Lonchura striata: one gene and its partner. The protein of the gene in region 1 purifies or fractionates together with the protein of each later gene. This does not show direct contact. Links are inferred from orthologs where the notes say so. Each region holds a gene or a part of one and is shown in the gene's direction. Other genes may lie near its edges.

Region 1 (12,279 bases):
ATATAATTATTATTTATTAATTTTCTAATTAATGAATTAGAAAAATATATTTAAAATAAATAATCCCATTAATAAATACAATATGCAGGATAAAGTGAAACAAATTTTCTTAAATTGTCTGAAATCCTAAATTGTTGATAGACTGTATTTGCTATGTCACAGCACATTTTGTGAAACCATGAGCTACAGCAGGATCCATATGCTGCCCTTAGAGGTAGAATGAAAATCTCTTCATGCCACAAAAATTCAATAGTCATGGCACAATACACTCGAGAGTGCAAGAAAGGCAAAGTCAGCAGCTGGATCTTGGTGCCATAGCAGGTGAATCAGTATAATAAAATGTAATAATAGATCACTTACAGGCTGATGGGTTTATATCAAACAATTTTAAATCAATAATAGAGAATTCCTAGAGTGTTATTTTTAGTGTGAGATGTTTGTATTACATTAATTCAAATAATCTAGGGGACTCGGTGTAAGATGATTTGCTTAAATTCTTAATGAATTCATCATCATACATCTTGGGAAGTTCCTGTGCCTGGACCCTGATGGTCTTGCAGATCCAAGTCACCATGCTGCTGAGATCCTGAGTACTGAAAGGCACTACAGAGGTAAGATTAATCTCAAGCTCATGAGCCTATGAGAACTTAACTGGATGATCCTTGATCCACAAAAGGATTCAATGCTGCTTTTGAAACATTTGTGTCTTCTTTATCTGTTGAAAACTGTGGATTGCACAGAATTGTTCCCTTTCCCATGCAGATGTCCCAGCTTCCAAGTGAAAGCCCTAGCATTTTTTGCATGGTCATCTCACTTAGTGAATGGTGATTTCATTCAGCTCCAGGTTTGCCTGTACCTGAGCTGTTAAAAGAGAACTGCCAATAGCCATTCCTCATGGTGTGGAGATAACTATAGTAAGAAATTAAGTCAAACAATGCAATATTTTCCAACCAAGAGGGTCATTAAACCATCTGTTACTTATAATTTGGTATTCACATACAGTTCTTGGGAAATTTCAGGAGAAATCCTTGGCTAAGAAGTATCAGAATGTTGGAAGTCAGGTATTTCTCATACGAATTCAGTACAGACTTTTATCCTGCCTGAGAGCAATTTCAAACATGTGACACATTTCTCAAGTTGCCTCTCTTATCATGAGAGAGTAACATGGTCTGTGATAAAAGGTGACACAGCTATGAAAGTCATTCTTGCTCAGTTGTCTATATCAGACTACAGGGGCCAGGGCTTTGATGCCTAGCCAAGTAATTGTCTGGGAAGGGGAAATAAATTCCAGTAACTCTCATCTTTCTTACCCTGCTGAGAAAAATTCAGCTGCTTATGGTTTTTATCACTTAGCCACTCCTACTTTGTCATATTCCTTTTGTGAAAGTGTTAATAACCAAAGCAGTTGAGGTGATGCCTAACTGTTTGGGGGGGAGAAAAAGGAAAGAGGGAAATAGTCCAAATGACAAAACAGCATGTTTTTTATTTAGGGTAGAGCACATTCAAGAGACAAAAGCAGGGTGCCAGGCCGTTCATAGAGTTGCAGCTGGTTTCAAGCATTACTTGATTTATCAGTATGTGTACAGGAACACAAACATACATATTTTGCTACTGAAAAATGTTTCTCTTGAACACATGTCATTTTGGCTTGATGGAAGTAAAAATTAGTTCATTCCCAGTTGTTTCTATTTGGATGGTCAGTTTCTTCAGGACTTCCAGTCCACCTCCAGAGAGGGGAAGGTGACGAAATCTAGGTAAAAGAGAGATTTCATTTGTGTGTATCTTAAAAAAACAAACAAAAAAAAAAAAAAAAAAAAAAAAAAACAAATGAGTGATCCCTGTAATCCTTACCTATATGGAAGATTTAAAAATTATTAATCTTCAGTCCTGCAAAGTTAATTCATTTAATGACTTTCTGACATCTGTGTAATATTTCTAGCCTGTCCACTCTGGGACAAAAAAGATAACATTTCTATAACACAAGGCGGCAAAAATACCCAGCCAAGCACAGTATTTCAGAATATAAACCATTGTAAGAGAATAAAAATTAATATATTCTGGAAGATAAATTGAAGGATAATCCATTAGTAGCAATGCAGTTTTCAGTAGCCTTTGTAGGAGGATCCAAGTTCAGTATTTCTTGAAGGTGGAATGGTCTGTTACAGATTTTGCTTTCATCGTTCCCCTTTTTCTTTCTTGGTCCGTAGGGACATCCATGTACCTCATCACTGAACAGCAGGAAGGATGTGGGAAACAGGGAAGTGACTGATGAACAAGTGTATTGCAGAGCTGCTGCTGGTGAGCAACAAGAAAGCTTGGTCAAAAAGTTCTCCACCACTGTCTTGATAAACTTCTTCTGACCATATGAAATACAGGCTTTAATAAAGTACACAACAAGATTTAATTGTATTAGAATTTCCTGTGGAATACTGGGGGAATTAAGTAACTTCCTCATATTCCTTCTTAAATGTTTTCATCTGACTTTACCTTGCCATATCCTGAGTTCTAGCTATCATCTGCATGTTGACCCAAGGCCCACTTTATTTTTTCACTCTGTCCATTTTGAATGAGTTTTGTCTGAGGCTTTTTGTCGTTTTCTCCAATGAGAACAAATTATTTTGATATGCCTTGGTATATTCAGATCAAAATAAAAGTGAATCTGAAATCTTAGTCTAGAATTCCCAAAGAGATTTTGAATACTCCAAGGCTTATATTTGAATTTTAATCTTGTTATACACTAGATAGTATTTCAGGAGGGAAACTTCTTTTTACCTATGTCACTATGAAGGCAATGGGAGCTCAGCTATCCAAACTAATAAAATTTGGCTTGGAATACAACATTTGGCACTTGAAGCATGTGGATTTCAAGGCTATCCAACAGTTTAATTTTGAAATCTAGCACCATTAAAATAATACTTTTGGTTTTTTAGAAATAAAGTTTGGAATTTCCACAGTGTGTTTATTGCCAGTAACAGAAGACTAAGATAACAAGTAGGGACTTTTTCTCTAGTGGCTTTTATTTATTATTAGATTAAATTTTTGTTCTTTCTGTGAAGTGGACAATGCTTCTGAATAGAAGAAAATAAGAGAATAGCTATTCTGTAGTCTACCCAAATTATCACACTTCTGTATTGTTTTATCTGGCATCTTTGTGGATTCTGGTTGCCTTCAGACTAACCAGACAGGAAGTGTCCTAACGGAAAAGCTGGTGCCTGAGAAAGATAATGGAGGAAGTAGATGCATTTCTTTTTGCATACGGTATTTAAGAAATTCCAGAAAAGGAAAAAAGCAGATGATAAAACTTTCTTAAGATGTTTCTTTATCTTTTTCTTCTTGCAATAGATGACAAGTTAGATGTGGAGTACAATTGTGAGGTGTGATGTGGGTTACAGGGTAATGCGTTGGTGTTCTTTTTGTAGTTAGGTACAAAGTTACAGTTCCTGAAACAGACACAACCCTTTAAATAGATATGCATGTAGATCTCATCCTTCCCATCCAGAGATGAAAATTATAGGGAGTCAGTGATGCTCTCCTCCCCCTCTTGGGGCTATACAGAGATTGTATTATTGTCAGGTGGTGAGAAAGCAGGTGGAGGGGAGTCAGGAGAAGCAATGTTTTGGGGAAGCTTTGGGAACCAAAAATCCAGGTGCGCTGGGGAAGAAGACAGTGTATAACCCATAGAGCAAGCTATTGAAGTTGCTGAGAACGAAAAGGTTGAGGCTGGCAGAACATTTTCTGCTGTATTAGCCATGTAATCAGCTGCCTTCATACATGTCCTCCAGCTTCATGCTTTTTCAGTTACTTTATCCCATATTAAAAGCACTACCTTGCATGTGGTACCTGAAGGGCATTCCTTCTTTGCTGATGTGTGTTTTCCCTCTGAGATTAGTTCTTATTTGAGTTACAGCACAGTCCTCTGGCTCTTTTTCTTTCTCTTTGCATGGAAGCTTTTCATCCCAGCTGCTTCTGTAAAGCATCTGAAACTTCGAGGCTTTCTTTATTCAGATCCCCAGTGTACATCCCAAGAATATTTCCTGAGATGTGTGAGGGTTGCAGTTTGAATGGGAGACCTAAGTATGGACTTGCTGTAACACCTCTTTGATATGAGGCTGAAGAACTGTTGAGTCAGACTTTGCTGCATCCTATCACCGGAATGTCAGATCAGATGAGTTTCCTTCTACCTTCTTTTTTCTTATATTTCCTCTGTCAAAAGGACAGAGGAAATTTCTCTTCCTTCACCATAGGTCCTTGGCCAAAAAATCACAAAACCAGTGGTGAAAGTTTTGAGAATCCAGATTCTGCAAAAGGTTAGCTTTCCAGTTTTCCCCTAATAGCCTCCATGAGACAGGAGGAAAAAATGCAGGAAAAAGTATATAAACGTTGGAAAACTAACATGTTAGAAAATGTGCATTTTGTTCAAATAATTCATTAACATTTCAAGAACTTACCTCTTTTGCTTAGAGGAAGCTAATGTAGGTATTTAATAGGATTGCAGAAGTAGGAGTTAAAGCAAATAATTAGCACAGTTCTGAAGTGGTTTCTTTTCTTAAATTCCAGACAAGTCTGATGTAAACTTTAATTTCCTGAATGACGCTTGTGTTTTCTTATGCCAGGGCAAAAATTGTGTTCAATATTTCCAAACTCCATTTTACAATGAATAGTTGTTTTATCTTTGTTTGTCCATCAAAGCCTTAGAAGTCTATTTCGATTACTAGATGCACTGAAAAACATGTGGCTACATCCCAGTGCTTAATTATTTTAATCTTTTTTGCATTTAGTAATATTCTTGTAATACTTGTTTCATTCCAGTCCTCATTACACTCTGCATATGTCAAGATTTTTTCCATTGGTACTATAATACTTATCTCACTGTGGATGTAGATGCATCTTCTATTTTTACCCCCAGCATCCTCCTCTGTGCTGTTTGAATAAAAAACTAGATTATCTGAACTCTCAAGGTCAAGTGCTAAAACTTGTCAGCTGATCTCTGTTTGTTTACAGACAGAACAGACAGTTCTGAAAATAACCCTACTTGGTGCCCATCTTCCTATTTTGAGGTTGATGCTGAGGGTAGTAGGAGCAACAGAAATGTACATATTCTATTTAAAATACATAGAAGGCCTACATTTGAAGTTGTTTAAAGAGAAAGTTTTTAAAATTTGTTTGGCAGATTTTTACTTCCCTTAGTAATATTTATTGGCTAACTCTGCTCTTACCTAAACTGTCTGAGTTGAATTTGTCTGATCACTCAGTATAGTAATCCCTCTGGTAAGGATCCAGCTCAAGTAAAGTTAATGGCAGCTGCCCAGTTTAATTTACTGAGAGCAGGATCAGAGTTATTTCCTATTTAATGTTATCTGATGAAGGGCTTGATTAAAACTTTTCCAGTATGCAGATATCACCTCCTATGTTTAACTTTTTTTCCGTCTAGAAACTGACTTCCCAGAAACAAGGAAATACTGCCCTTTCAGCTTAGCTTCTGATGATTGTTTAAGCAGTCCAAGCAGAAGAGTTTCATTTCTTGCTTTTCTCTGACTATGATTTGAAAGTAATTATTTGCAACTTAAGTAAGAGAGTACACTTTCGTTCAACAAGACCATTTTCTCTGCATCAAAATCACATTGTGTAGATGTGTTATTTCCTATCATGGATAGCTCTTGTATTTTTGGATTATATAGCAGTACTTCCAGAACTGTACTCTGCTCGCATTTTGTGACACTTAGGAGTGTTTTGTTCTTCCTCCTCCTTCTCCTTCTCTACCTCCTTCTCTGCCTTCTCCTTCTTCATATTTTCCTTCTCCTCAAAAAAAAAAAAAAAAAAAAAAAAAAAAAAAAAAAAAAAGATGGTGATAATAAAAAGAAAATATTATGGTAGAACCCACTGTAGCAATTTCTTCATTTTTAGAGATCAAAAATACTTAGGAACATGAGTAACAACACCTCTTAAACTGGTAGCACAGTTTTCAAAGGAAATAATGAGTCATGTAATGTTATTTACAGAGCTGAGCATTGTTAGAATGGTTCTGAAAACTCAATCCAAACAAAAATATTTTTGTTAAAAGCAAATTTGAATAACTTTTTATCTGAGATACAGTTGCATTCAATTACTTGGACTTACAATCATTCTTTCATTTTATCAGTTGCTTGCAGGATCAGATCTGAAACAGATTTTTTCCAATGTAGTAGACACTATATTTACAAGTGTTACTATTATTTTTTCTGGGCTGTGTCTAAAGCAGCAGAGGGCGCTGAGCCAACGGACACCGCCCGATATGGGTCTCTTCCTCCCTGCTCTGGATTTCCCCATCCAGGGATTTCCCACTCTGTACCAAGGAGAGAGAGCCTTTATAAAGAGCAAGCTGGAGGTCTTGTAATAAGCTGTTGCAGAGCAGCAAGATCTCACAGCGCTTCTTCACAGAAAATAGAAAGTAAACTTTTGAATTTACTCTCTTTACCCAGTAACAGCAATTACAAATGTTTAAAGAGATGGGAAGAACAAGCCAGGCTGTGATAGTAATTTTGTGTGTGTTAAGAACTGGTAAGTTGGGGAAGGTGGGGGTTGGTGGTGTTTGTTTTATTTTTTTAAACTTTGTTAAATGTAAACTGACCTAGAATTTGCTGTTTGATATTTATTTCTCTTTTCTCCAGTTACCTTTTTATTTCAGTGATACAACTGTCAATTAAGTAGCTCTGTCAAAATGTCAGGAAGTTTTTTTTTGACATTTACTTTGAGCTTTTCTGTGCTCTGCTATGACTCAGTCATTTTCCTATTGAGTTTGCTAAAAGACAGTCTAGGAGACAACTGCAGTATATCACTGGATGCTTGATATTTTACTCATTCCTGACATTAGCAGGCAAGTTTGGTACTAAATGTCCTGTTGAAAGTGTTTCTGCTGTTGTCTTTGCTATCTACCTGCTACCTCTCCCCTCAAATGTTACAAAGTTTTAGAACCAGATCCACCTGACAAAAAAAGTTATATTGTGCCAATGCATTTATTTATATTTGGTTGATGCTGTTTTATTCATGAAAACTCAGTATCTGAGTCTGTATTGTCTTTGACAAAAATAACAATGATTGTGGGTTGTTTTGAATATGTAAACCACTGTATGAGCTTTATTAGTTTAACTTCCACACAACCATAAATTAAAGAAATGAAGCATAAAGACCTCATATCACAGTAGAACATGAGAAGAAATAGGAAGATAAAAGTTGAGAAAGCTGCTGAATTGATGTGTGTTTTCCCTTTTGTAGTTAAAGCTTTTGAAATGGAAATTATACCTGCTGAGAGAATTGTGGCACAGATTGGAGATGCACTCATACTCACATGCAATACTACTGGCTGTGCATCACCAAGTTTTTCCTGGAGAACACAGATGGACAGCCCCCTTGGAGGAAAAGTCAGCAACCACAGGACATATTCTACATTGACTATTAATCCAGTTAGCATTGTGAACTCTCATTCTTATCTTTGTACTGTCATATGTGATGAGAGAGAGAAAAAAGAGAAGAGTGTCAAAGTTGAACTTTACTGTAAGTAAAAATGTAAAATTCTCTTTAAATAATACATATTGATAGGAAACTCAATAGTTGTTTTAGATATTGTGGTTACCAGTTAACTTTTAATTCTAGGATAATGAGTGTTATAGCACAACATATACTTCCTTCTGAGATTCCTTTATGCGTCTGTTCAGGGCACATTCTTAGACCATTTCTACTTAACTTTCTGCATTGAAGATTGTATGTACTAGTGTTATTTATTCTTATTTTGGTAATTCTTGAAAGCCAGAACATGCACTGCCTGAATGCATTCCCAGAGCTGGGGGAATAAAAATCAAAGCCTTCATCGTTTGCAGCAGAGTAATACAGATGTCTAAACCTACCAGCACAGAAAACAGGATAGCACTAGTGTATGGATTTCTCTGAATGCCTATAGTTAAGCAGTTGTATCATTGCCTAGGTGCCATACTGAATCTTACTGATCTTTTGTGGTCATGTTTCAACAATTGTACATATAAACTTCCTGTTAGTATATGAACTGCTTATAAAGAACCTGTAGGTCTTCAGATCAAGATATGTCTTGTAATAATGTTGATAGAATGTCATGTTCTGAGCACCTCTAAACTCAAGACATTTGGTGTCTGGATCTTGCTCTTATGTTGACCCTACTGTTCATTTCTGCTAGTCTAAAGAAATTGTTTTTATTCTTTTAGCTTTCCCCAGTGATCCTATCATTGAGATCAGCCCATCCTTAGTTGCTGGAGAACCAGCCACTGTCATCTGTAAAATTCCTGATGTATATCCTTCTGATCATCTGGAAGTTCTCCTAAAGAAAGATGAACATGTTCTTCATGAGAAATATTTTTTGGAAGATGACAGCACAAATACAGAGACCAAAAATGTGACATATACATTTCATCCCCTGGCTGAAGATGCTGGAAAAGAGATTACCTGTGTGGCCAGGCTACCAATTGCTGATATGGATTTTGAGCCCAAAGAAAGAACATCTTCTCAGAGACTTAATGCAAATTGTAAGTATTTTTGTACAAAGGCTTTGGCTAGTTTAGCTTTCAAAGTTGCAAGCAAAACATCTTACTAAGTCTGGAAAAATTGTTCCACTGTGCTACTGGCATACATATTTTTCATTTCTTTCTTGGTATTCTGTGACATGTACCTCTAGAAAAGCTAGTGTTAGAGATGTGCATGTCATTCTTCATTTACATACGGATCTTTTCTTCCTTTTGTTCTCTTACAGTTGGTCCACAAAATACTGTCATTACTGCATCTCCAGGCAACTCAGCAATGGAAGGAGACTCTCTGAACCTCACTTGTGTGACTCAGAGTAACCCACCAGCACAAATAGTTTGGAGTAAATATTTGGCTGAAGAAAACATTCAGCATCTGATAAAAAACAATGTTCTTTCTATTCCCCATGTCCATTTCAATGATTCAGGACTGTACATCTGTGAAGTAATTAATCTGGTAACTAATAAAACACAGAAAGCAACTGTGGACATTATTATACAAGGTACAAATCTGTTTGAGTTTCACTTGTATTATCCAGTTCCTAACTGGCTGACCTCTGTTAGGTTGGAGGATGCTGAAACACTGAAAATTAGGAAAATATGGGGCTTTCCTTGCTACATATTCAGGATTCAGCTTCAATTTAAGGCTGTTCCTCATGCACTGTAATTTTTCTTTCTGTATCTAATTTTCAGCTAATTCTCTGAGTACTGCTGTTGTACATGCACGTTTTAATACATATCCCCACAATGCAGCACTATAAGTCACAAAAGAGTCTGAGAAGGTGGTGGGACACACACTGTTACTTCTGTGAAATGTAATGTGCATACCAGTATCACAGGGACCTAAGTCTCCTTCTTTGAACTAGTAGTTTTAATCATTAGCATTAAATTCATTAGGCATTTAATGGTAAAACTGTTTTGGACATAATAATATTGTTGTTGTAATATTTTTTTATTGATTGATTGACTGCTACTGTTTTGACAGAGCCAAAAGTCTTAGATTGAGTTTGGGATCAAAACCAAAATAAACAGATCCTTGAGCTAGCAATTCCTGCTTTCTTAAAACTTCCTCCATCTTTTGTACCTTTGCATTATTCTAACAGCCTTTTCTTTTGTCATGCAGGTGCTCCAGTCATTACAAAACTCTCCATTGAACCTTCTACAACAGTTCAGGAGGGAGAAAATGTTTTCATACAGTGTTCTGCTGAAAGTAACCCTCCTCCCAAGATTATTTTAAGGAGAAAATCTGACAATGCAGACATAGAGTCTTACAGTGCCAGGAATATTCTTCGTCTTCCATCTGTGATGTTCCAAAATGGAGGAGACTATGAATGTGTAGCAGAAAATAAATTTGGGAACAGTAAAAGTGAAATCACACTTAATGTGAAATGTAAGTATGTGTAAAATTTTCCCAGTATTTTATAAATAATTACTTAGTTCTTCAGTGATAAATATAACCATCAAATTAAACGAAACTCTGTGAGAACAAAGAATCATCATCGTCCTCTGCTTTTCCCTAAAAAAGAGCAGTGCTGATGAACAAAACAAAATAACAAAGTCTTCAATGTGGTGACAGTCTTTAGTACAGATCTGAATGAGTGAGAAACTGATCTACATGGTTTACAAGTATTTGGTTGGAATGTCTAGACTATGGAGGGTTTGTACAGAAACTCTGATACCCTGTGCTTTACTTTTGTTTTGAGAATTAAAAAGAAATTAGCTTTTGGAGGGGTGACAGTCTAGTATCCAATAAGACATGTTGGACCCATCTCTTAAAAATCCAGTGATGATTAACTATAGGACTCTTCCTTTCAGATGGACCAAAGAATACAATGATCACTGTTTTCCCTACTGCTGCTCTTAAAGAAGGAGAAACTGTGACAATGAAATGTACTAGTTCTGGTAATCCATCTCCTGTGATCTCCTGGAAGAAAAAGAAGGCCACTGGAGAGTCTGAGAAAATTTCTAAAAATGCAACTATAACTATACCAAACTTGAAAAGTCAAGATCTGGGGCTTTATGAATGTGAAGCTTATAATCAATTTGGCAAGGAAGAAAAAGCTGTGGAATTATATATTCAAGGTTTGTAGATCAAGACAGAAAACAAGTTTTTTGGTTTATGTATTTTAGGTCCAGATCTTCTTGAAGAATGAGGTAATTGTGTCTTTGATGTCAATGGAGTTAAAAGGTGGCCTTAATGTCACTAAGTGATTTAGGAAGCTTTAAACAATGAAGCATGAAGTCTGCCTTAGTACAGATTGATTATGAAAAGTTCTTAAGTTGATGGGGCTTCCATCACTCCATCCAACTGCTGAGTTAATGCATGAGGTAAAGAAGGCATGCAGTGCCTGGAAGGAAATATCCTTCCAAGCAGGCCTCAGTGGATATCTGCATAGGAAAGATTCAAGGAGACAGTACATGCTGAAGCTGCTCTATGGAAGCAGCTCCTTACTTCTTCCCTAAGCTTCAGCTCTGTTTCGTGCTCTTACAAGCTGCATTTCAGCTACAAGAAATGCTGATTCCTCAACTTAGATGGAATGATAGCCAAGTTTCATTTTCAATAGTAATCAGACTTCTCTGCTTTAACTCTGCTGCTTCTGCCTATTGCATAGCAACAGTGTCTTGCTTAGGGATCACTTCTGCCACCAATTCAGCTCTCTTCCCTGTTCTTTTCTATTTTTATAGCTGCACCAAAAAATACACTTTTGAATTCCCCTTCAAGCAAAGCGAAACAAGGACAAAGTGTTACTATTCCTTGCATATCTGCAGATTTTACATCTCTTAGGACTAGTCTGTAAAAGAAAGTTGGTGATGGGTTCACAACCCTTGAAAAAGTAGATAGCAAATATACCACAGGCAGGGCTCGACTAAGGGATGCAGGAAAATACACATGCATACCATTAATGAACTGGAGGAGCAGTCTCAGTACATAGTACTTATGTCAAAGGTTAGTTAACATAACTGCTGCACAGAGTTCATACTAGGATTTGTTTTACACAGAGTGACATCTTCAGTTTCATTAAGAACGTTTTGTCTTTAAAAAACCTGACATGAGTTGCACAGGTTCTTGTCATAAGTGATAGGATCTTAATGCTAATGAAAATGTCTGTCCAAAATAGCAGATGTAAAAAATAATTGCTGCTTCAAAATTTTTATATTTCCACTTCATCTTTTGAAAACAGGATATAAAACTGGGGAACCTTGTGGAAAAAAAAAAACAAAACAGTTCTAGGACTCCTTTTTTTGCCTTTTCTATTTCTCTTCTGTTGAAAGAGGACATCAGCCTCTGGGTTTGTTGGTCTGTGCCCTTTCATGAACTCAAACCAATAAACTGTGAATTTGAAATAAGAAAAGAAGAAGAGGCTCTATATAATGTAAAAGTTATGCAACATACTCTATCAATTAATAAAATGTTCTTTTTGCCAGCTGCCATTGGCTTCAGAGGTGAAGGATAGCTGGTGACAGAGCAGTGTCTAAAGCTACAGGCTCAACTACTACAGTGGTCCCATTACTGGATTAGTATTTTGCATGTAAATGCTGCTGATGCCTCATGAGTTTTGCCTCTGTTTGTTGCTAAATCCCACCTTGAATTTCTTCTCAGTTCCTTTCCAAAATATTACTGTGTTAGTATATCCATCAGAAAATGTAAAAGAAGTAGAAAATATCACTGTTACATGTAGCACATACACCCTCAGAGATGGTCCTGAAAAAAAACCCTTCAGGAGAAATTATTCTGCCATCAGTGAATGGAAATTTT
Region 2 (12,289 bases), on another chromosome or scaffold:
GAGAATGAGACTCCATATTAATCTGCATCTGTTCTACAACTTTGCAGTTGGTGGGATTTTAAATAAGACTGTTGTACAGTTTTTCCCTTTTTATGTAGTGTAGAGCCTGGACAAGAAAAACAGCTGTTATTCTTGTCCTGCTATCTGCCTCTCTGGCTCTTGGTACTAGCAGTACTCTGAAGTACTTCAACTGTAACACCACAAAAGGCTTGAAAAATAAACTCTTTGCATTGATAGCTCAAAAAAAAAATATCCAGGAAACTAATCTCTTAAATTAAGAATTGAGATTATATGTAGAAGTATTTCTTTGTAAACTATTAACATAACATACAGAATTTGTTGCCTGAAGTGTTAAGATGTCAACTTTGTCAGCCCCCTCTGAGATAGCAAATCTTATTATACTACTTTGATAGCTAGTCAAAAGAAATATAAAACCACCCAGTCACCCAATGACACGGCTTGTAGGACCAAGGAGAGCTATCTGCTAGTCTCTGTTTCTAATCTAGAGGACACTACTGCTTCCACTATGTGCTGTCATAACTGGATTTTGTTTGCAGCTGGAGGTTCCTGCTATTATAGCTCATTGCAAGTGTTGGTGACCCACATGCCTTTGGCAGAAGCTTAATTTTAAATAGTGAAGCTGCATGACCTGAAAAATCCCTCTCAGAAGTGGCTTCTCCCTGGTTCTTGCTCATTAACACTCGGTTTTATCCTTCTTTGGCCCTTTTCACCATCTAGGAATGATTCTATATACAGTTAGTCCTGATTATTAAATGTTGATACCTTTCAAAAAGCCCAGTGTGAATTGATGACTTCCATATAGATTCCTATGCAGTGGTCACCCGTATCAGAACCATCTGGAGCCTGGTTCTCAGCCCCTGAGGTTGGACTGGCCACTCCCATTCTCTGGAAGCCATGGAAGGAAGTGCCTGGTGGCCTTTGTTACAGCCTCCAAGTTCCCAACCTCTGAGTCAGAAAGGCAGTGGCCCTACATGGTCATCACACCAGTACCATCATCTTGGCTCCACACCAGCCATCTGAGGAGGCAGAGCAGGAGCGAGGGGGAAGAGAGGAGAAAACTCCCACAAAGCCTGTTTCTTTGGGGCACTGAAACTGTGAAGATCTTGGCTGAAGACTCCAAATCTCCTCCCTTTCTTCAGCAAAGCCTATTAGTAATGCGCGTAAACTATAGGCAGTCTGAGCCCTACTGAAAAAAAATTGCTAGATTTTATGTCTACAAACTTTGTATTGTCCTGTTAAGAAAGTAAGACGGATGAAGAGCAGAGCATGAGATTTTGTCAGATTTTGGAGATTTAGTGTTTTTTTTTTTTCATCATGGTTTGTTACAGTGAGGCTTTGCTGGTCAAGACAGGTCTGGTGGATGTCCCAGAGGTTTTGTGGGTACCTGTTGAGGAATACATTTAGTGCAGGTAGCTCAGTGTGCAGGCTCCAGTGCAGGCTGAGGATTGAGCTCAGGGTCAGGTGGTGCCAGCCAGGTGACCAGACAGAGCCACAGCAGGAGTCCATGACTCAGAGGATCCCAGGCTATGCCAGCACAGACTGTGAGGATGTAAAAGTGCAGGGAGTCCTTTGTTCACGGTCCCTCCCTGGAGGCACCAGGACAAACTGTGATTCTGTTGCTGTACCGTGATAAAATTACTTAAAACAACCAGAGGCTTGAGACTCTGCTGTGGGAACCCTGGGGTCAAGCTGGTAGGGAAAACTTGTCTGACTGTCTGAGAGTGGGGTGTGTAGGGAGTCAAGTGAGCTCCCTACCAGGTCATGGAGCTGCCTGTTGAGAAGGGGCTTTGGTCCCAGCATTCAAGTCTCTGGTGGTGGGAGTGTGACTGCCAGAGTGGCTGCTGAATGGTCAGATAAGGAAGTTTCCTTAACATGCCTCAAGGGGATAAAATGCAATGGCTAATGTAGGTGTTTTACATTTTGCTTCCAGTATGTTTTTAGCTGGCTGTGATTACTGTAAATGCTTAATGGCCTCTAAGAAATACATATGAGTAAGCATGTTTCCTTTTGGCTATACATCACACCCTCAAAACTATCAAAATAAATAGCAGTGGAGTTACCTTTTAGATTAGATATATTTCTCTAAAATTAAAAGCCCTACCTTGATTCTTCCCATCACCCACAGGAATAATTTTTCTTCACTGGTTTGAAGTGGAACAGAGCAATGGGATTTACTCCACCTCCTTGCTCTAAGGAGAAGGTGCCAGTATCAGTACCTTTCACACAAATTGTGTGACAAATTCCCATTATTTTTTTTTTGTGCTTCACGGTATCTATTATTTGGGTTGTAAGTATTTGGAGTAAAGTCCCAGAATATCCATTAGATTTTCCTTTGTTCCCTACTTTGCTGCAAGCAGTACAAGATGTAGAAAGCATGAACATTTGCTCCCATATGGTACAAACAAAGCAAAAATGAAGATGAGACAATTCTAGCAGATGGGTTGTTCTTACATTTTTTTTTCATATGATCATTGCATTCATTGCACACCTTTTGTCTGGTTTGAAACTCTCCCCTTTAGTCTCCCCCTGCACAAACAGCATATTCCCAGCACATCCCCAGATATACAGGAAGAGATGAGTGGTGTGGGCCATACAGTGAGTCATTGTTCCTAGTAAAGCCTTCTCCATGTCCCTTGCAGGGCTGTCACTTCCAGTGGGGGATTTATATGCTGGAGGGAATAAGGAACTAGGGCTTTACAAAGCATCTGGCAGACACAAATCTCTGGGATTTCCAGGCAGTTTCATCTATTTCTGCCCTGGTGAGTGGACAAGCCAGGAGCTGGGACCACATACTGCAATGAGTTCATTTTCTTGAGGTGGAAAAGGGATCAGATAAAAGCGTTCACCAATCCAGTGGCCCCATCAGCTTCTGCTCTGTCACTGCAGCTGCATGTGAATGGAATTATTTCCAGGTTTTTCAAATCCTGCCTTCCTGAATGTGGTGTGCTTTCCCTTTACCCCTCTCATCCTTCCAGCTTGAGAATCACTGCACAAGATTACTCCAATTCTCAAGATGCAAAGGTGTGAATGGAGTGATAGTACTTTTTTGGGAGGAAATATGCTTTTTACCACTAAATATAATTAAACACTGAAAAGATCCAATATCATCACCAACAGCAATTCATTGTGAACCTATCGGCATTAAAGTTGGAACAGGAGAAGGAAGTTTAGCTGCTATTCAAAGAAGACCTCAGAACCAGACTTGTTCATTTTAAATAGAGTCAATCCAGGACTACTGTGTGTTGAAGGTGCAGTTCTCATACTACAGTAACAATTTCATTTTTTGCTTTCCTTTACTTATGTGAATCAAACTATTTCAGCCCTCTGAAATACACCTCTAGTATGAAACACCTTTGGCTTCTATCTTCTGTCAAAGCCATGCAATGGGGAACTCAAGTTATTCCTCATTAGTCAGAAAACCCATATGCTGTTAAAACAGCCCCTTGTTTAGTGTTCATGCTAAATAATTCTGTATGTTAGAACAAATAATTTATGTGTTCTTTCTGCTTTAAAGAAGCTACTACAAAAGGCTTGATGAAAATAAAACCAAGACAATAAATCCCCAGTGAAATACCAGACCTCTTCCCAGGAGAATGCTTAATGTCATCCTGGTCTAATCTAATTCTGAAATACTTTAATATTATTTGCGAGCTGAGCAGTATGGGAGTAACAGCATTTTTGAGGCCCTGGGTAATGTTACTCATTTCTCCAGCCTTCTGCAAGGAGGACTTTTAATCAGCTGATGCTTTTCCCCCTTGGAATTTCACCCTGAAGTCAGAGGGAGATGTAACCCCTCTGCAGTTCTCAAGGAATCCACTGATATGGTTGTCTTCACACATGGCCAGGCAGGGAAAGCTCAGCAAAAGGCTGCTGGATGACACCATGGCTCCCCAGCAGCTGCTAAAGGAGAGGTCTGCAGGGAAGGTCAGGTCCTGGTGCAGCACCTCCAGGAATTTGCAGGAATTCATCATGGAACTGTGGCTGGAGTGCCATGAGGTTCAAATTTCAGATGTCTTGTTCTCTACCTCGGGAGTGAAGGGGAAGGGGGAAAGAAGAAGCTGGAGAGGAAGCGAGGTGTAGAGATTCACGTGCCTGTCACAGGATACTCTTGTCTTTCAAAGTGGCATGAATGGTATTTTGTTTTGGCTATCGATATGAATAATAGGGAAGAAAGGCAAGAGAAGTTTCTGGGGTCAGAAACAAGTGTAGGTTATGCTGAAGCTTTGTCTCAGCTCTTCAGACTCTTTGGGACTGTTTGACACGGGGTTTTATGACTTTCTGAGGACATGGCCAATGCCTGGCACAATGTAAGTGGGAATACAGCTGCTTTGGATCTGATTGTTTCACTGGCATGGGGATTCACTTGCCTCATTAGCCCTCCTGTCATTAGCACTATGAAGAAAAATTTTAGATCCCTGGATGTTAAATTATGGCCCTTTAAATTTGGCAGGGAAATATCTAGACTCCTGTCATCTAAAGTTTTATCACCTTTGCAAACAGATTGATGGAATTCTCCAGTTACCTAAGTCTTATGAAGGAATATTGGTATAGAAGTTACAATAGAAGCAGAATTGGCCTCTCCCCATCGTATATGTTGCTAGTATAAAAGAAATCTCCACAGAATCTCTTGAATTGAGGAAGAAAGCTCACACCTAATATTTCTGGATCCAAACCTGGCAAAAAATCATGAGCACATGACTATTGTTCTGTATGTCTTCTGTCAGTATCTATTTCTGTAGGAAATAAGTGTAACCAATCTTGTTTGCCCTTGTCTAAGAAAGTCTCAATGTAAAAGGAGACAGAAAAGGAAGAAAACTTTGTAAAATAGCCTCTTAGACACCCTGTGAATTCCTGTGCAGAAAAGTTGCACCAGTTTACATCAATCCAATTATACTCATGTTTTTTCCTATGTAGGCACAGCATAGAGATTCTAGTTTAAGTGAAACCTGCATATTCAGCTGAAGCAAATGAAATGCCTGGACCCTGTTTCCATCTCCTGCCAGACAAAAATGTTTAACAGATTTGAAAATAAGACACAAAGTCAAGGGGAAAAAAAAATGATATATTCCTATTTTCTTTAAAAACAAGACTTTACATTTATTTAGTTTCCTTCTTCTGGACACTGTTAACTTTCAAAAGAATGACTTCTAATTTCCTGGGAGAAAATAGGACTTAGTTTCCTGTATGAAAGTTGTGTTCAATGTCCCAAATGAGATGAGACAGCTTCTTTAAATCCCCATGAAAATGGTGACCCTTGATTCCCTCCATCAGTGGTTGGAAAACAAAGATGGCAAGAGAAGCTTTGGTGGATGGCCTGCCAGTGGTCCTCTGCTATTTTCATCCTTGAATTTGGTTGCTTATTTATATTCTGTGATTGTGGGTGTGGCCTTAGAGAAGCCTTGAGGACCAGATGTGACTTGCCAAGCTTCAGGGAGCCACAATCCCTTGGGCTTTTGAAGCATCTGGAACTTGAGAGGGAAGATGTATGCTAATGTCTCTACAAACAATTCGATAGGTGAAGGTATGGATATTAAAGTCTTTGAAATGGGTCTTAATGTCTCTGCTAACTTTGAGCAGTAGGTTTGTTGCAGATCCCAGACAGTTTGGATCCTGAAACAGTCAAGTGGGTCTGCACAAGCTTGAGTTTCTGAACTTTGGGGTAAAATGACAGGTTCAAGGGGGGAATACGCGGTAGGCGGTTCGGGAAGTCTGTGCCTTCCTAATACCTCAGCCAATGGGGAAAGGAAGAGGGCAACGTGCGGCCGGGAGTTCAGGGTAAAGGGAGGCTGCGCCCTCTGAAACCTCGAGAGAAAAAACCCTGGGGATATGTGTGTGTACCAGTGGATTCTCTCCCTTGATTTCAATAAAGTTGCAGGACTCCTCTGACTCTTTTATAGAGACTGGCTTATCATAGCGTGATTTTCCGTACAAGCTGGAAGTGTACTTTTAAATCAAACAGGTGGCTGTGAAAATCTTGTACAGAACAGCGCACGGGGATGCTGGGCTGGCAGCGCGCTGAGCTGCACCTGTGTGCAAGCGGCTCTGGCTAACAAGGGACAGAAGCATTGCTCACAAGTCAGTGCTGCGGTCTTACTTTGAACAGTACAGTCGCCGACAAAATAGCGCTATTTTCTTAAATAATGCTTTTATCAAGAACCAGAAATCCCAATGACACCGATCCGCGCATAAACTTCTGCGACCGGGGCTGTGTAGGCACTACTTCATGGGCGCTGGAAGCCCTCGGCTCCTGCACCGACGGGAGCGCGCCGCAGCCCCCGCAGCCCCCGAGGCCGCGCCCCTCCCGGGCCGCTCCGCAGGGCCCGCCCGGCTCGGCCTTCCCAGGGCGGGGGCGCCGCCGCTCCAGCCCCGCACGGAGGCGGCCGGGCGGGGCCGGGCGGGGCCTGGCCGGGCGGAGAGGCGCGGCGCGGAGTCCCGTTAGAAGCAGCGCGGAGCCCGTGCGGATCCCCACCGGCGCAGGAGGAGCGACGGCCGTGCCCAGCCCGCCGGGAAGATGCCGAAAACGGTGCGTGCCGCCGGCGCGGGGCAGAGCGGAGGCTCCGCCGCGGGGTGCGGGCGGGTGCGCGGGGCCGGGCGGGCGCGGCCTGGGGGCTCCTCCCGCCCGCGCTCGGCTGCGCCCCGGCCGGCGGCGGCCGCCCCGGAGGGAGCGGCGAGGAGCACGGAGGGGTCCCGGGGAGCGGAGCTTCCCGCCCGCCCCTCCATCTTGTGCTGCCCCGGCCGAGGGGCCGCGCCCGCACCGCGGGGTCTCGGCGCGGCGGGGCCGCCTCTCCGCCCCAAAATGTCCGGCGGAGCGCGGCGGCGCCGCCCGCGTGTGCGGCCGCACCGGGGGGAGCGGGGCGAGCTCCGGGAGCCTGGTGGGAGCGGGCGCTGCCATGGCCGCCTCGTGCGCGCCCTGAGGAGGAGAAGTTGGGGTTTTCACAACTTGCAGTTAGTTAGTCAGTTCGGGTTGCCAGGGAACCTTGTCCCAGCTTGACTCGAGGTATTTCTTGGCTGGAGAGGTTTTGGTACTTTAGAAAAGTCTAGTCAAGTCTGTACTTGACTCGCCTCGCAGCAGGAGTTCGGTGACTAATGAGGAGCATGGGGTTTTTCCATTTAATTTCTCCTGGTTGGAGCGAAAGAATTAGTCCCAGCTCTTCATTGATAAAACAGGAAGGAGCAGGCTGGAAGTCTCTGGATGTTTCCGTACCGGAATTATCTGAAATGGCCTAAGAACATCTAATGTTTAAGCTAAGAGTCTGTGGTTTACATAAAGGAGAGGAAAAAGACAAATCCAAACAGAAACTTACCTCTGTGCAAATAGAAGTTGAAATGAAATTCACTGTGATTTTCTTTTCTTCTAATAGTTTACTTTTTTTACTTTAGATAGCGAATACCTATTTGATTGACAGCTAATTTTCCTGATGTTTTAAATGCCATCTCTGATAGCATGGATAGCTAGATGATGGTTATTATTATTTAAACATCAACGTCTTAAAGGATGTCGATTCTCAGCCTCTTCAAGGTTAAGACAGTATTTTCTTAGGCTTTAGAAGGGCCTTCTATCAAATACTAGTGATTAATGAAGATTTATTTACAAAAAAAGTTAACATACAGGTAATAAATTCAGTAAGATTAACAGAAATAACACAAGTTAGGGGACATCTCTGTAAAATGCAGTGGAGACCTTTTAGCCAGAGAGTTTACAGTTGTGATGAGTGACTTTTTTTAGCGTGGATCGGCCAAGAAATCCTGAACAAGAGAGGCTTGCGGGGCGGGGTTCCCAGCACCAGGCTGAATCTGAACGCTGGCTGCGAGGTGCTCATTGCAGCCTCCGCAGACACACCCTAGGCTGGATCCACCTTCTCAGTCTGCTGCTTTCTGGTTTTGACAGAGCAGTTCTGGTTTTGACAGAGCAGTTCTGCTTTTGGAGCTTTTAAAAGCTGGAGCAGATAGAGAAATGCAAGTGTTTTGGTGTAATGCTTTGTATTGCACACTGAAGGCTCTACAGAGAGTGGTTCCAGAGTCTGTGCCTGTTGCAGTACAGAGCTGCAGGCCTGCTGCTGTATCAGCCTTTGGTTTCCTGCCTCATCTGCTCTAGTTACAGACCCAACTGAAATAATATTTGAAACATTATTTCTTGATCTTTGTTTTGCAGGAGCAGGATATGCTGGCATAACTGTATAATCAGTTCTTCATGTGAAATAAACATGACTACTACTGTGCTAGCTTAAGATTTGTTAATAGCTGCTTAATTAACAAAACAGTAAAGCGCAAGAGGCTTTCCTAAGTCAAGGAAAAAAAAATCAAGGTCAAATGTGGGTGAAACCTGGGCAGTTAGATGTAGGTTTATGTGGGCTTCATCACAAAAATAAATCCATTGTGAAGAAGACAGATGGAGGAAATGTTCTAGGGAACAGTTCTGGCTGGGCAGGAAAAGCATTTGTGTCAAAACTACTTGGTTGGTAGCTCTTATCATTCATCTCACCAGGCTTACAGAAACATGCTGCTGCGTGGCTTAAGCAGCAAAACCTGTTGAGTTCTGAGTCTCTACACCTCCTCAAGCTAGGCTAAATGTTAGCACATGTAGCTGGAGATTTCCATTTTGTTATGGGAGATTTGCTATGAGTGACACTAGGCTGTGTAGCACTATTAATAAGAATCCAAGATTAACTCTGGTAACCTTTGAACTAGTGCACATGATTTGCTGTTGTGACATGTAATGGGGGGGTTTGGTTGCTGGAGGCTTTGTAGGCTGTGTAGAAAGTCCATCATGCATCAGCCTGCTGATCTTGCCATACTCTCTCAACAGGAAGCCTTCACGGTTTAATCTAGTGATACAACTCTGGTTTAAGCATTTTGTGTTCTGGAAAGTTTGTGAAGTGTGAACAGTTAAAGCAGACACCAGAAAGGGTATATAATTCCCCCCCCTACTTTGTACTGCAGAGGGTTGAAGTACTTGAGTGCTAAAACTGAGCTGTTGGCAAGCTCTGAGAAGTCTATCCTCCAGTTGTGTGCAGTTTGTTTATTTGCCACGAGTAGGCTCTGATTTCTCCGTGACTGGTGGATGCAAGGCTTCTATTCTGGGATTCATTGACTGTTTTGCCTATGTATGTGCTTACTCTGTGAATGGATGGGCCACTGAACGTGAAACAGGAGCATTCATCACATGTGAGGTGCACACTCAACAGTCCTGTCACCACGACTTGGGCAGTTCTGTTCTGGGTAACATTGTAGAGAAAGGGCTTTCATCAAACCTAGGCTTGTGAATACAGAAAGTTTTACAAGGTAATAAGGGAAAAGGTGCCAGTCCAGAGTTTATTATACCTTAGTTTGAAGCTGAGTATAGCAATAGTTATTAGGATCTTTATGAACCCTGTCTGTAGTTTGAATTGATGGTCCTAGTTCCCAGCAGGACTTGAAAGGTCCTAGAAGATTTTTTTCCCCCTGTTGTTCTTTGAACTTCAGGGTTCTGTTTAGAAGAAAAATAACTGAGAGATTGAGGTGTGTATCAGGAGAATCCTCTGGTTAATTAGTTTCTTGTGTCTGTGGCTACTTGCTACCAAATGTTGCAACAAGATGGCAACTATGAATAGAAGGCTACACTTTTTTGGATAATTTGTCTTCTTTATTTCTCCTCTTGCGGAATTTCGTTCATGTCTTGAAGGGGGAAAGGATAGTGATGAAAACTGTGACTTTAGTAGATGGGCACTTTTCTCCTGATCCCATTGTGCTATGAAGGAACTCTAGAAGCATTCTAGATGCCTTCTGTCTCATTTCATGACTGACACATTGGGGCTATCTCTTCCTTTCCTCACTCAGTACAACTTGGGAAGCTTGGTGACACTGATCCAAGTTTAACGTGTGTGCTTAACTTTTTAGGCAAACTCAATCCATTATGTTTCTTCTAATGCCATCAGATATATGATGTAAAGAGATGCATTTGAATGCTCCCAAAGACCTTGCTTTATACAGAATATCACTCCTGTTGGTGATTTTCAGATGACTTTGTAGTTCAGAAGCAGCAATACCTAAAACATGCTGAGTTTACAGTGGAACCAGGTAAACTACTGAAACTAGGAAGCAGTGAATTATCTGTAGCTTTATTCCTACCATGGGATTTTGCAAAACAGGAAAGGCCTTTGCACCCTAGCTTGTATAGTATTCAACAGCTTGGTCCCTAGGTTCTGCAAGAATAGTAAGGTTTTACTTCATGTCATGTGAAGCAATTAAGCTTGACTGAGTAAAAGCTTGTTTGGTACTTTTAGGCCCTCTATATTAAAGTTAAACGGGGATTTAAAACTATACTATTGATGAGAAACAAATACTCACTTTGTTTTTACATACTGGTAAAATCTTCCTTTCTCATCTTATGGCAAACCCTGTCCCTGTCTGGGCAAAACCCATTAGTTATAGTGGTTTTACACTGTTGTGAGCAAGAACTGTTCCAAGTGCCTGATCTGAATTGGTAGTCATGATTCAGTTCATAAAACTTCAAGGTGACAATGTTACATATAGACTGTCATACAAGAGGTTTTAGAAGATTAAACATCTTACTTGAGTCCTTTATTTAATTTTTGCCCTCTTGATTTGTTGCTGGAGGCAGCACCCAATGAGGTGTACCCAATAAAAGGGGCCCCAGGAAAGCTTTAGGTCTGCTGCTTCTGCTGTAAGAATCCTACGGGGAACAGAGTGTCTCCAATCAGGGGCTCACTTCTTGCAAATATCCTATCACCATAACATCTACAAGCAGCATCTTTTTTTAAAGCATCTTTTCAGGGCGTTGCAGCCCTTTCCTTGGGGTGATTCTACCTTGTGTAATTAGTCACGCCTGAAGTTTCATTACAATTCTTGCTTTACTCATGAGGGTGGCTCATAAGATGTCTTAATATGGACTCGTTTATTTTGAAAGGAAATGGCATCTCTGTCTCTAGAGGAAACTTTGTTCAGTTTTATGTATAATGTCTAGTCTGAAGCTAAATTCTCCTCAAACTCTAAGTCCCTAGTAGCTGCTTGAAAGACAGCTGATGAACCGAAACCAAAGGATTCAAAAAGCTTGTGCTTGTGACACTGGGTGTGCCTGGGGACAGCACCCTGCTGGCCTGGCCACGTCCCTGCTGGTCAGCGGCTACTCCACAGAGGAGCCCCTCTTCCTCCTCCGAGGTGGCTCTGGCCCTGCTCCAGGCTCTGAAGGAAGCTGACTAAAAGCTTCCTCTGGCTGCGTCATCTCCTGGACTCTTTCCTGGCTCGGTGCAGCTCAAGCAACCTTATTTGGCTGACTTAATTTCTTTTTTTTTTTTTTTTTTTTTTTTTTTTTCCCCTTCTGTGCAGCAAGAGGGCCTCCCTGAATTTGCACAATAAAGCTGTTATCTGTGCTTAATCACTGTTCTGAGAACTACAATGGCGTTTGTTTGAAAAGAGCTCCAAGATTTCAACTCCTTGGATCTCTGTCATTCCAGTGTCCCGTTTCCCTTTTGTCTGTTTGCTCAGTGATTATACCAGAAACCAACTTCATCGAGGAGTCTGCTGCTGAAAAGAGGAAATCTCTCTCTACCCAGGAATAATCCAGGGCAATTAACTGATGTAAATTAAGAGCAGTAGTAAGCAGCCAGTTAATCGCTTGCTTTTCCCTAGGGGTATTTGGGAACAGCAGGTATTTGCACAGTCCAGCCAATAATACTGAATTAAGTTTGTTTTTATCCCATCTGAAACTTCCAAACTAGGCTGAAGTCTCTAGGTTGATGGAAGGCTACTCTTTCAAGCACATCTTTTTGTAACTTTCCTGTGGCTGTTTCTAGGTGGAGCATTCAAGTGTTTTGGAAATTGTGGGCATAAAACCCACCCTTCTGAGTCCTGTAGCTAATGCTGACTCTAAGGTAGTGTTTAAAGCAAATACATGGTGGGGAGGTAGGAAGAGACAGTCACTGGCAGTCTTGATGGTTATAAGACGACAGGATCATCTACAACTGTTTGGAGGTTTAGAACCTGAAATTGCAGAAGTTTGGGCCTTATATTAACAAGAGACAATTATGGCTGCAGCAACTGTGGCTATCAATAGGTAGGTGATGTAGTGCTGCTTCCTTCCTGTGCAGCTGTGAAAGGATATATTCACTTCTGTGAATGTGTGATTCTCCAGGGCAGTAGTGGGGCAGTCAGAAACTCCTCGCCTTTGTAAAGCAGTTTGTTGAACTTAAATGGGGAAAAAAACATCCTTTGAAGATGCTTTTAAAGGCATGACTCCTGCAGAATGCTTTTTCCTAGTTGTACTAACATC

The links.
Region 2: the proteins of VCAM1 (region 1) and MSN purify together in Homo sapiens (affinity purification with western blotting; 3 studies listed by BioGRID, with this or other methods). This does not show direct contact. The link is inferred for Lonchura striata from reciprocal best matches to the Homo sapiens genes VCAM1 and MSN.

What each region holds. Positions count from the first base shown.
Region 1 is NC_134611.1:22,920,498-22,932,776, reverse strand, and holds the start of VCAM1 (vascular cell adhesion protein 1), read left to right. Parts: upstream 1-6,550; 5' UTR 6,551-7,184; coding exon 7,185-7,530; intron 7,531-8,210; coding exon 8,211-8,528; intron 8,529-8,752; coding exon 8,753-9,025; intron 9,026-9,645; coding exon 9,646-9,912; intron 9,913-10,337; coding exon 10,338-10,604; intron 10,605-12,279. UniProt on the Homo sapiens protein: Cell adhesion glycoprotein predominantly expressed on the surface of endothelial cells that plays an important role in immune surveillance and inflammation.
Region 2 is NC_134616.1:6,513,638-6,525,926, reverse strand, and holds the start of MSN (moesin), read left to right. Parts: upstream 1-6,411; 5' UTR 6,412-6,532; coding exon 6,533-6,544; intron 6,545-12,289. UniProt on the Homo sapiens protein: Ezrin-radixin-moesin (ERM) family protein that connects the actin cytoskeleton to the plasma membrane and thereby regulates the structure and function of specific domains of the cell cortex.